2 linked regions of the Macaca mulatta genome follow. The protein of the gene in region 1 purifies or fractionates together with the protein of each later gene. This does not show direct contact. Links are inferred from orthologs where the notes say so. Each region holds a gene or a part of one and is shown in the gene's direction. Other genes may lie near its edges.

What was found.
Region 2: the proteins of FAF2 (region 1) and UBL4A purify together in Homo sapiens (affinity purification with mass spectrometry; 3 studies listed by BioGRID and IntAct, with this or other methods). This does not show direct contact. The link is inferred for Macaca mulatta from reciprocal best matches to the Homo sapiens genes FAF2 and UBL4A.

What each region holds. Positions count from the first base shown.
Region 1 is NC_133411.1:185,388,151-185,392,449, forward strand, and holds the start of FAF2 (FAS-associated factor 2), read left to right. Parts: upstream 1-1,468; 5' UTR 1,469-1,529; coding exon 1,530-1,592; intron 1,593-4,299. UniProt on the Homo sapiens protein: Plays an important role in endoplasmic reticulum-associated degradation (ERAD) that mediates ubiquitin-dependent degradation of misfolded endoplasmic reticulum proteins.
Region 2 is NC_133426.1:160,668,940-160,673,257, reverse strand, and holds the start of UBL4A (ubiquitin-like protein 4A), read left to right. Parts: upstream 1-1,511; 5' UTR 1,512-1,519; coding exon 1,520-1,567; intron 1,568-1,770; coding exon 1,771-1,876; intron 1,877-2,124; coding exon 2,125-2,333; intron 2,334-2,451; coding exon 2,452-2,562; 3' UTR 2,563-4,318. Other genes in the region: SLC10A3 (P3 protein), read left to right, coding at 1-593. UniProt on the Homo sapiens protein: As part of a cytosolic protein quality control complex, the BAG6/BAT3 complex, maintains misfolded and hydrophobic patches-containing proteins in a soluble state and participates in their proper delivery to the endoplasmic reticulum or alternatively can promote their sorting to the proteasome where they undergo degradation.

The sequences.
Region 1 (4,299 bases):
TGGTGCTGGGAAAATTGGCTAGCCATAAGTAGAAAGCTGAAACTGGATCCTTTCCTTACTCCTTATACGAAAATTAATTCAAGATGAATTAGAGACTTAAATGTTAGACCTAATACCATAAAAACCCTAGAAGAAAACCTAGGTAGTACCATTCAGGACATAGGCATGGGCAAAGACTTCATGTCTAAAACACCAAAGCAATGGCAGCAAAAGCCAAAATTGACAAATGGGATCTCATTAAACTAAAGAGCTTCTGCACAGCAAAAGAAATTTCATGTACTCTTCACAGAACCAGCGCTGAAAGCCTTTTCTGTCTCACCAGATCAGCCTTGCAAGGGGATGAGAGTGGGGCGCAGGCGGCTGAGAGCCTTGCTGGGAATCACACAGGTCGTCCGTGGAAAAGCGTGTACCAAGACCCAGGCCTCTCTGGAAGGTGGGCAGAGGAGGCGTTCGGAGGCAGAGGTGGAAATGAGAACAGGAAATCTAAAGAGAGGTGGCGGACGAGAAGGGGCAAAGGACGTGCAGAGGAAGATAGAGATTGAGGGATGGTGATAGGGCAGTGTAAGCAGCAGAAGGGAAGGGCAGGAAACTGCCTCGAAGAGAAGGGGCAGCGGCAGCACGTCAGGGGCTCTTGGTGAATCTCATTCAACAAATGGCAAAATGGAGCCCAAGTGGTTTGCCCAAGGATGTCCAGCACTTGGCAAGGTGGCAGCTAGAACCCGCGTCTCCTAATGGCGGTCCAGGGATCTTTCTTCGCCTGTCACAGGGACAAGGGGCCAGTGCAGCGCTAGTGCGGAGAGACAAGACTCTAGGCACGGAAAAGCAGACGCCGGGCCGGGGCTCCAGCGCTGCAACCACGGCGGTGGACGGAAAGCTCTGCCGACGGCTGGGGGCGCCATGAATCGTCGAGGATCCGGGGAGCCCAGTCCAGCCCTTCCTAGCAAGCGACCGCGAAGCGGCAATGGGACGGTGGTCGAAGCCTGCCCACAGCTTCCGCTTCGAAGGCGGCGTTGGAAATGCCGCGCCAGTATCCTTCGGCACCTCCCGAGAGATGGTCAGGAGCTTTTGGAAACTTTAGGTCAGGGGCCAAAGACCAAAAGGCTGGTATTTCGGAACGGCCACATCTCCTGAGAAACCTCCAAGAATAACAGGTTGCCGGAAAAAGGTTAGAGAGCAGCCGAAATCAGCCGAATGCCATTCGGGGGCTCCGGAGTTTCTCGAGGCACATTCGGGCCCTCTCGGCTCTGCAAGACTCCACTGGAATCTCAGGTCTCGAGCAGATCGTTTCGTCGCCTAAAGGGTAAGGGCGACTTGTACCGACAGTCCCTCGGCAGTTTCCGGAGGTGTTCGGGATAGGCCCGAGCGTGGCGCCCTCTGGCGGCGACCAGGGGTGGGGTAGGGGTTAGTGGGCCAGCGCGCGCAGACGCAGCTGCGCGCCGGCGGTCGTTCAGACCGGATGTGGTTGTGGCTGAGGTCAGTTCCGGCGGGTGACGGTGCGGACGGGTCAGGAGCGTAGAGGCGGCGGCAAAATGGCGGCGCCTGAGGAGCGAGATCTAACCCAGGAGCAGACAGAGAAGCTGCTGCAGTTTCAGGTAGCAGCGAGTACTCGGTGCAGCAAATGCCTCCGCGGGATGGGGAGTGGGCCCCTAGAGGAGTTCAGAACTTTCCTCAGATTGGGCTCAGATTCTTCTTAGACCAGCAGGCCGACCCCCTCCCCCCAGACTCCAACTGCCCTGATTCCCCCGGCCCCCAAGCCTCTGTTGGTCCCTATCCTTCCAGCCATCGCTGCGGCCAGACCCGCCTCGTTTGTGCTTCTGTGCCCTCAGCGTGTCAGCTTCCCTGGTTTCCCTTAGCGGCGTCAGTCCTCAGCCATCCTTCCCAGCCCGGTTATCGGTCGGACCCTCTCCGCCCAACGAGTCTGTATCTGCCGGAGACGCTTAATCCCTACCGCGGAGTTGGCGTCAGTTCGGGTCTCTGACAGAAAAACCTCCTGCCAACATCCCATGCCATTTCCACAAACATTCCCACAAACTGAGGCCTCTTGGATACCAGGTTTCGTGTTGGGGGTTCCGGTCGGGAAGGGGGCACCTACACACAGACCTGGTCCCCGCCCTAGAGGTGTGGGAGGACACCAAGTGAGAAAACAATGCAAGGTGCTAAGTGTCATCAGTGGCTTCTGACGGGATTTATTACTTTTGGCTTATTCCTGGATTCCTGTGCTTCACTATGCTTGAGGAGGGTGGTAACTTGCAGGAATGTTATGTTAATACAGGACGTCGTATTAAGAACGTTTGCCACTAATCACTTACCCTTGAGCTGGAGAATGGTTGGAGGATACCACTAGGGTGGGTAACCTTGGCACTTTGTTACCAGTTTCTTATCTCTGAAGAGACTGTCTTAAAAATATCTACCCCCAAGCCGGCCGCGGTGGCTCACGCCTGTAATTTCTGCACTTTGGGAGGCCAAGGCGGGCGAATCACGAGGTCAGGAGTTCGAGACCAACCTGGCCAATATGGTGAAACCCTGTCTCTACTAAACATACAAAGATTAGCCGAGCATGGTGGTGCACGCCTGTAGTCCCAGGTACTCGGGAGGCTGAAGCAGGAGACTCGCTTGAACCCGGAAGGCGGAGGTTGCAGTGAGCCGAGATCGCACCACTGCACTCTAGCCTGGGCAGCAGCAAGAGTGAAACTCCGTCTCAAAAAAAAAAAAAAAAAAAAATCTACTTCCTGAGGATGTTCTGGAGATCAAATGGACATATGGATGTCAGAAGGGCCTTGTGAACTGTAAAATGCCCCCAAATAGTATTTCTGCTATTAATTTGACTTAGGATAGACCTAACGTTATTGATACACTTATTTCCTTATATAAAATGTGTAAATATTCATTTATTCAGCTATATTTATGAAGAACCTTAGTGCTCAGCGCTGCTAGGTGGAATCCCACTTACTATTTCAGATGTAAGTACTTTGTAAACTTAGTGTACATAACCTCATTTAATACAACAACCCTATGAGGTTCATACTGTTACAGTCGCTGATTTACAGATGAAGGGTATCAGGACCAAGAAATAAAATGCTTAGGTTACACAGCTAGAAAGTGATGATGTCAGATTTAAAGCTATGTCCATCTTCCAGAACCCTTCCCAGGCTTCTGACTTCTGTCTTGTACAACTTATATGTCAGTGTACAGTTGAGTGTGGAATGCAGATGCTGAGATAATAAATATTTTTTTGGCGAGTTCTCACTTTTCTGCAATTTCCTTGAATAGACTTCACTATAATAAATTTTGAAGTGGTTATTTTTTCCCCTCTTAAATTGAGCAGTGGGTTGGAAGTGTATAAATGGAAAAATGCTGTCGTAGATGTAATTGACATTTGATTGGAATTTTTGGTAGAGAAATTGAATTGATGACCCAGCAAATTATAATTAAAGAATGAGTAAACAGCAGACAACCAGCTTACACTTCCATTACACTTCCAGGTAGACCACCAATTTCAGAGTGTTGTTTAACTTTGGCAGACCATTTTACCCCCTAGAACTCTTCAGGGGTAAGCTAACATGTTGTTTAAGTGCAATGAAGCAATGTGAGTTATGGTATCTTTAGTCTCATACTGGGAGAGCATGAATATGAATATATGATAGCATTTCTGAAGTAAAGTGCATAGGAACTTCCATCTTATCTTCTGTGGAGTTTTTTTTTTTTTTTTTTGAAATGGGGTTTCGCTCTTGTTGCCCAGGCTGGAGTGCAGTGGCGCGATCTCGGCTCACTTCAACCCATGCCTTCCGGTTTCAAGCCATTCTCCCGCCTCAGCCTCCCGAATAGCTGGGACTACAGGCATGTGCCACCACACCCAGCTAACTTTTTGTATTTTTAGTAGAGACGGGGTTTCACTATATTGGCCAGGATGGTCTCGATTTCTTGACCTCATGATCCACCCGCCTTGGCTGGGATTACAGGCGTGAGCCACTGCGCCGGGCCAGAACTGTGGAGATTTTTATTAGAAGAGAGGTGGGTAGCAGGTTTGAGCTGTATTAAGATTGCCTTATGAAACTGGATTTATTGAGGGAAATGCATCTTTTTTTTTTCCATTCTATAAGCAATCGCTGGATCAGATTCATTATCCAAATTGCCATTAAACCAACATTTGTTGAAACTCACTAGATGCCAAGCATTATACCAAGCATCAGTTGATGTTCATTAACTCTTTTTTTAAGAAAAATATTTTAGGCTGTGTGCGGTGGCTCACGCCTGTAATCCCAGCACTTTGGGAGGCCGAGGCGGGTGGATCACCTGAGG
Region 2 (4,318 bases), on another chromosome or scaffold:
TCACCCTGGCCATCTCCATGACTTTCATCTCTACGGTGGCTGCCACTGGTTTCTTGCCTCTGTCTTCAGCCATCTACAGCCACCTGCTCAGCATCCATGAAACACTCCACGTGCCCATCTCCAAAATCCTGGGCACCCTGCTGTTCATCGCCATCCCCATAGCAGTGGGCGTGCTGATCAAGTCCAAGCTCCCCAAGTTCTCCCAGCTGCTGCTGCAGGTCATCAAGCCCTTCAGCTTTGTGCTCCTCCTGGGCGGCCTTTTCCTGGCCTATCGCATGGGGGTCTTCATCCTGGCAGGCGTCCGGCTACCTATCGTACTGGTGGGTATCACAGTGCCCCTGGTTGGCCTGTTGGTGGGCTACTGCCTGGCCACATGTCTGAAGCTGCCTGTGGCCCAGCGGCGGACGGTCAGCATTGAGGTAGGGGTGCAGAACAGCCTGCTGGCCTTGGCCATGCTGCAGCTATCCCTCCGCCGCCTTCAAGCTGACTATGCCTCCCAGGCCCCCTTCATTGTGGCGCTGAGCGGCACCTCCGAGATGCTGGCCTTGGTCATTGGCCACTGCATCTACAGTAGCCTGTTCCCAGTTTCCTGAGGCCTCTGGGTCAAGCTTTCATCAGCCCCAGCCCCCACACTCCACCAAAGTTCTCATGCACTATGCACTCAGAAAAATCCAGGCTTATTTTTTTTACTGATTTTTTATTCTCCAGCTTTCAGTGCCACAGAGGCCATGCTGAGTTAGGTAGGTGGGCGCTGCCCAGAAAATATATTTCAATAAAACAGAGAAGCAAGCTTGGGTCCCTTCTAATCTTTGCCCTTTGGGGCCTGGGCGTGGGGGTAGAAAGAGTGTGCTGGGTAGGTGTGGACCAGGGTGGAGGGCCAGCTTGGGTGACACGGTGACCCCTGCATAGGCTTTCTCTATCAGCCCTCCCGGGGCGTGTCCCCACTGTAGGAGAGGTGGGAGGATGAGGGCAGAGGCTGGCCCCCCTACCCCCTCTCAAGCTCAGTGGGGTGTTTCGCAGCCAGACCAGAAAGGAGGAGCCAGAAAGCCACCAGGCAGGGAGCCGGCGGGGGGGGCGCCGTCTGTGGGTATGCAGGGCCAGGTTCCGCCAGCAGTAACGGCGCGTGGGGTGGTCCAGGCAGTCTGCGGGGGCGAGCGTACCTTCTGGTCCTTCCTTCTCCATTCCCTAGCTCCCAGATGACGCCAACCTGGCCCGACTAGTTCCTGCTCCCAACTCCCCGGCGCTGTTGCTTTGGGAGGGGTCCGCCGGCCAGGGCGGTCGCTGCGCGTGTGCTAGGCGGGACCCCAGGGGCACTCCTCCCGGGGTGCAACTGGGCCGGGGGGCGGGGCCGGGGCGTGGACGAGGCAGGAGGGCGGGGCCGGGAAGCGCGGGCGGCGGGCGCGCCCCTCTCGCTGCTTCCGGCGGCGGCGGGCGGTTCCAGCGCGCGCCCGGGGCGGCGGCGCGCGGCGGGGGGTGGTTGGGGTGCGCGCCGGCCCGAGTGGACGCCGTCGCGACCGCCATGCAGCTGACGGTGAAGGCGCTGCAGGGCCGGGAGTGCAGCCTGCAGGTAGGGTCCCCGGGCCGGGCGGCCGGGTCCGGCGCGCTCTCTCGCCGGCTCCTGGCAGGGTGACCAGCAGGGCCAAGGGCGGGCACGGGGCGGCCGGGCCGGGGACTGGGAGCCGGGAGAGCTGCCCTCGGGAGCGGACGCGTGGGCTTCGCCGCCTGGGGACCGCGGCCTCAACCCTTGCCTCCCACCCTCCGCGCGGCCAGGTGCCGGAGGACGAGCTGGTGTCCACGCTGAAGCAGCTGGTCTCCGAGAAGCTGAACGTCCCCGTGCGCCAGCAACGGCTGCTTTTCAAGGGCAAGGCCCTGGCAGGTACCCAGGGAGAGGAGACGCCCAGGGAGCCCCGCAGGAAGCGGGACTGGGGTGCGCGGGCCGAGGCCGGCAGCCGTGTAACGGGTTGGGGTGCCGGCGCCAAGCGCCACATGACCCCAAGGGAGGCGGCCGCATGCCTCACTGCCGGATGCCGCAGCGCTCCGCTCCCGCCGCCCGAGGCGGTCTCGCGTCCCGGGCCACCCCCACGGCGGCGGAGGAGGAGGAACCCATCGATCTGTCTTTGGCAGATGGGAAACGACTCTCGGATTATAGCATCGGGCCCAACTCCAAGCTCAACCTAGTGGTCAAACCCCTGCAGAAGGTGCTACTAGAAGAAGGCGAGGCCCAGAGGCTGGCCGACTCCCCACCCCCGCATGTCTGGCAGCTAATCTCCAAAGTCTTGGCCCGCCACTTCAGTGCGGCAGATGCCAGCAGGGTCCTGGAACAGCTACAGAGGGTGAGAAGGGTAACCCTGGGTATCCTCTCCAGGCCCAGTTCCTCCCAGCCCCTACCTCTGTTGCAGTGTATGGCTCCCCACTGGCAGCCCCTGAATCTTCCTGCCCTTCTCTCCCCAGGATTACGAGAGGTCCCTGAGCCGCCTGACGCTGGACGACATCGAACGGTTGGCCAGCCGCTTCCTGCACCCTGAAGTGACTGAGACGATGGAGAAAGGCTTCTCCAAATAGCATTCTCGGAGCATGGGGAGGTGCCCAGTGCCAGGCCACAGCAGCATGTCACACTAAGTGTGTTCACCTGTTGCAGTTGGGCTCATAATAATAGCTGGCATGTACCTGGCTCTGGCCACGTGCTAGGCACTCCTCACAGCTTGACCTGGGTTTGCTTCCACACCCTCAGAAGAGGTGAGCCAGCACAGCAGAGGCACTGGCGGTGAAGTGGCGGAGCCCCAGTCGGAATCCAGCGGCTTCTGAAAGTGCCTTGGTGTGAGAAGGAGGAAGGGGCTGCTTGGAGAGCTGGGCTCTGGCATGTCATGTTTAGCCCACTGAGAATATACCCTCAGGTGACTCCTTCCCAATCCTGAAAGGGAAAGCAGCTGTCACCTGACCTCTGGCGGGTCCAACATAGCCTTCAGCTTACCTCTGCAGGAGGCCAAGTGACAGCCAGCCCTGGAACCACCACACCCCCAGCAGCTGCTGCAGCCAGTGTGCTTTCGACAAATGAAAAAGCAGGTTGGGGCCAGGGAGTCAGCAAGTCACCCCAGCTCTGTGATGTGACTTCGGGGGAGTCTCAGTGCCACTTTGGTCCCCAGCCACGGACTTTATACAGTGAGGGCCACTCCCCGACCTGAGTCAGTGTCCTTCGTCTCACAGTGCCCCCCTCCCTTCTGTTCAGTAAACAAACTGAAGCCAAAAGCGAAGCAGTGGCCAAGTGTGACCCAGAGATGGGGTGTCCTGGCCCTTAGTGACACAGCTCCTCTCTGGGCACCCTGTCTGCTTGTCTCCTCCAGGAAGCGTTAGGGCTGATGGGTGACTCAGCAAGGCAATGTCAGAACTGGGGCTGGGCATAGGCCTTTGTCCTCGTCCCCAGCACTCGCCTCCCTGTGGAAGATGAACACATCAGCCACCTGTGTACAGCCGCTCACTTCGTGTGCTCCTTGTTGCCTGAGAGGAAACCTTGGGGTGCCAGGGTGGGGACAGAAACATGGGCTGGGTTCCGGTTCCTTCTCCACTGTGCCCTGTGCATGGGCACAAGAGGACATCTAGCCACCTGCTCCTTGGAGGCCCCCAGGGGTGGTAGAGGCTAGAAGGAAGCCACAGCAGGAGGACGCCACTCTGGGCCCTCCACCCTTGCCAAGTGAGCCGCTCACAGTGTGGTCGGGGCTGCACGTGCTGGAGGCCCTCCTGCCTGGGCCTGATGGGGCAAATATTGGGTCCCCGGGCTGGAAAGATGGACAGAGGCCCAATGGGTGAAGGCTTTGAAGAGCACACAGAAGCCCCTGGCCCCCCACGAGAGCTGGAGAGCCATGTATATGGCTTCAAAGCCACCTATGGCAGGGACACACTTGTGAGCATGGGTGGCCTGCAGCTCAGGTGATACATTTACCAGTGCTCTTGTTTGCGTGGTGCCAGGAAATTGATTTTGGAAAATGAAATAACATTAAAGGTGAATGTGAGACTTCCACTTTTATCCAAAAGGAGCTATATTAGCTAGGCTGTTTCTGATATCCAATCATTGGTTTAACAATAAAGGCAATTTGTTTAATCAGTAACGGAAATTTCTTGGCTTATGAAAGTGAAAAGCCCAGTGGTATCGGCATTGGCAGCAGGGGAGCAATTCTTCCAGTGTCTTCCTGCCTCCCTCTGCGTTTGTGTCTGCCACATCCCAGGCCACCACCTCCAAGGATGAAAAGGTGGCTGCCTGCAGCTTCCACAGAATCCCTCCCTCACTGCCTCACTGCCAGAGCAGCACCTTCTCTGTAGCACC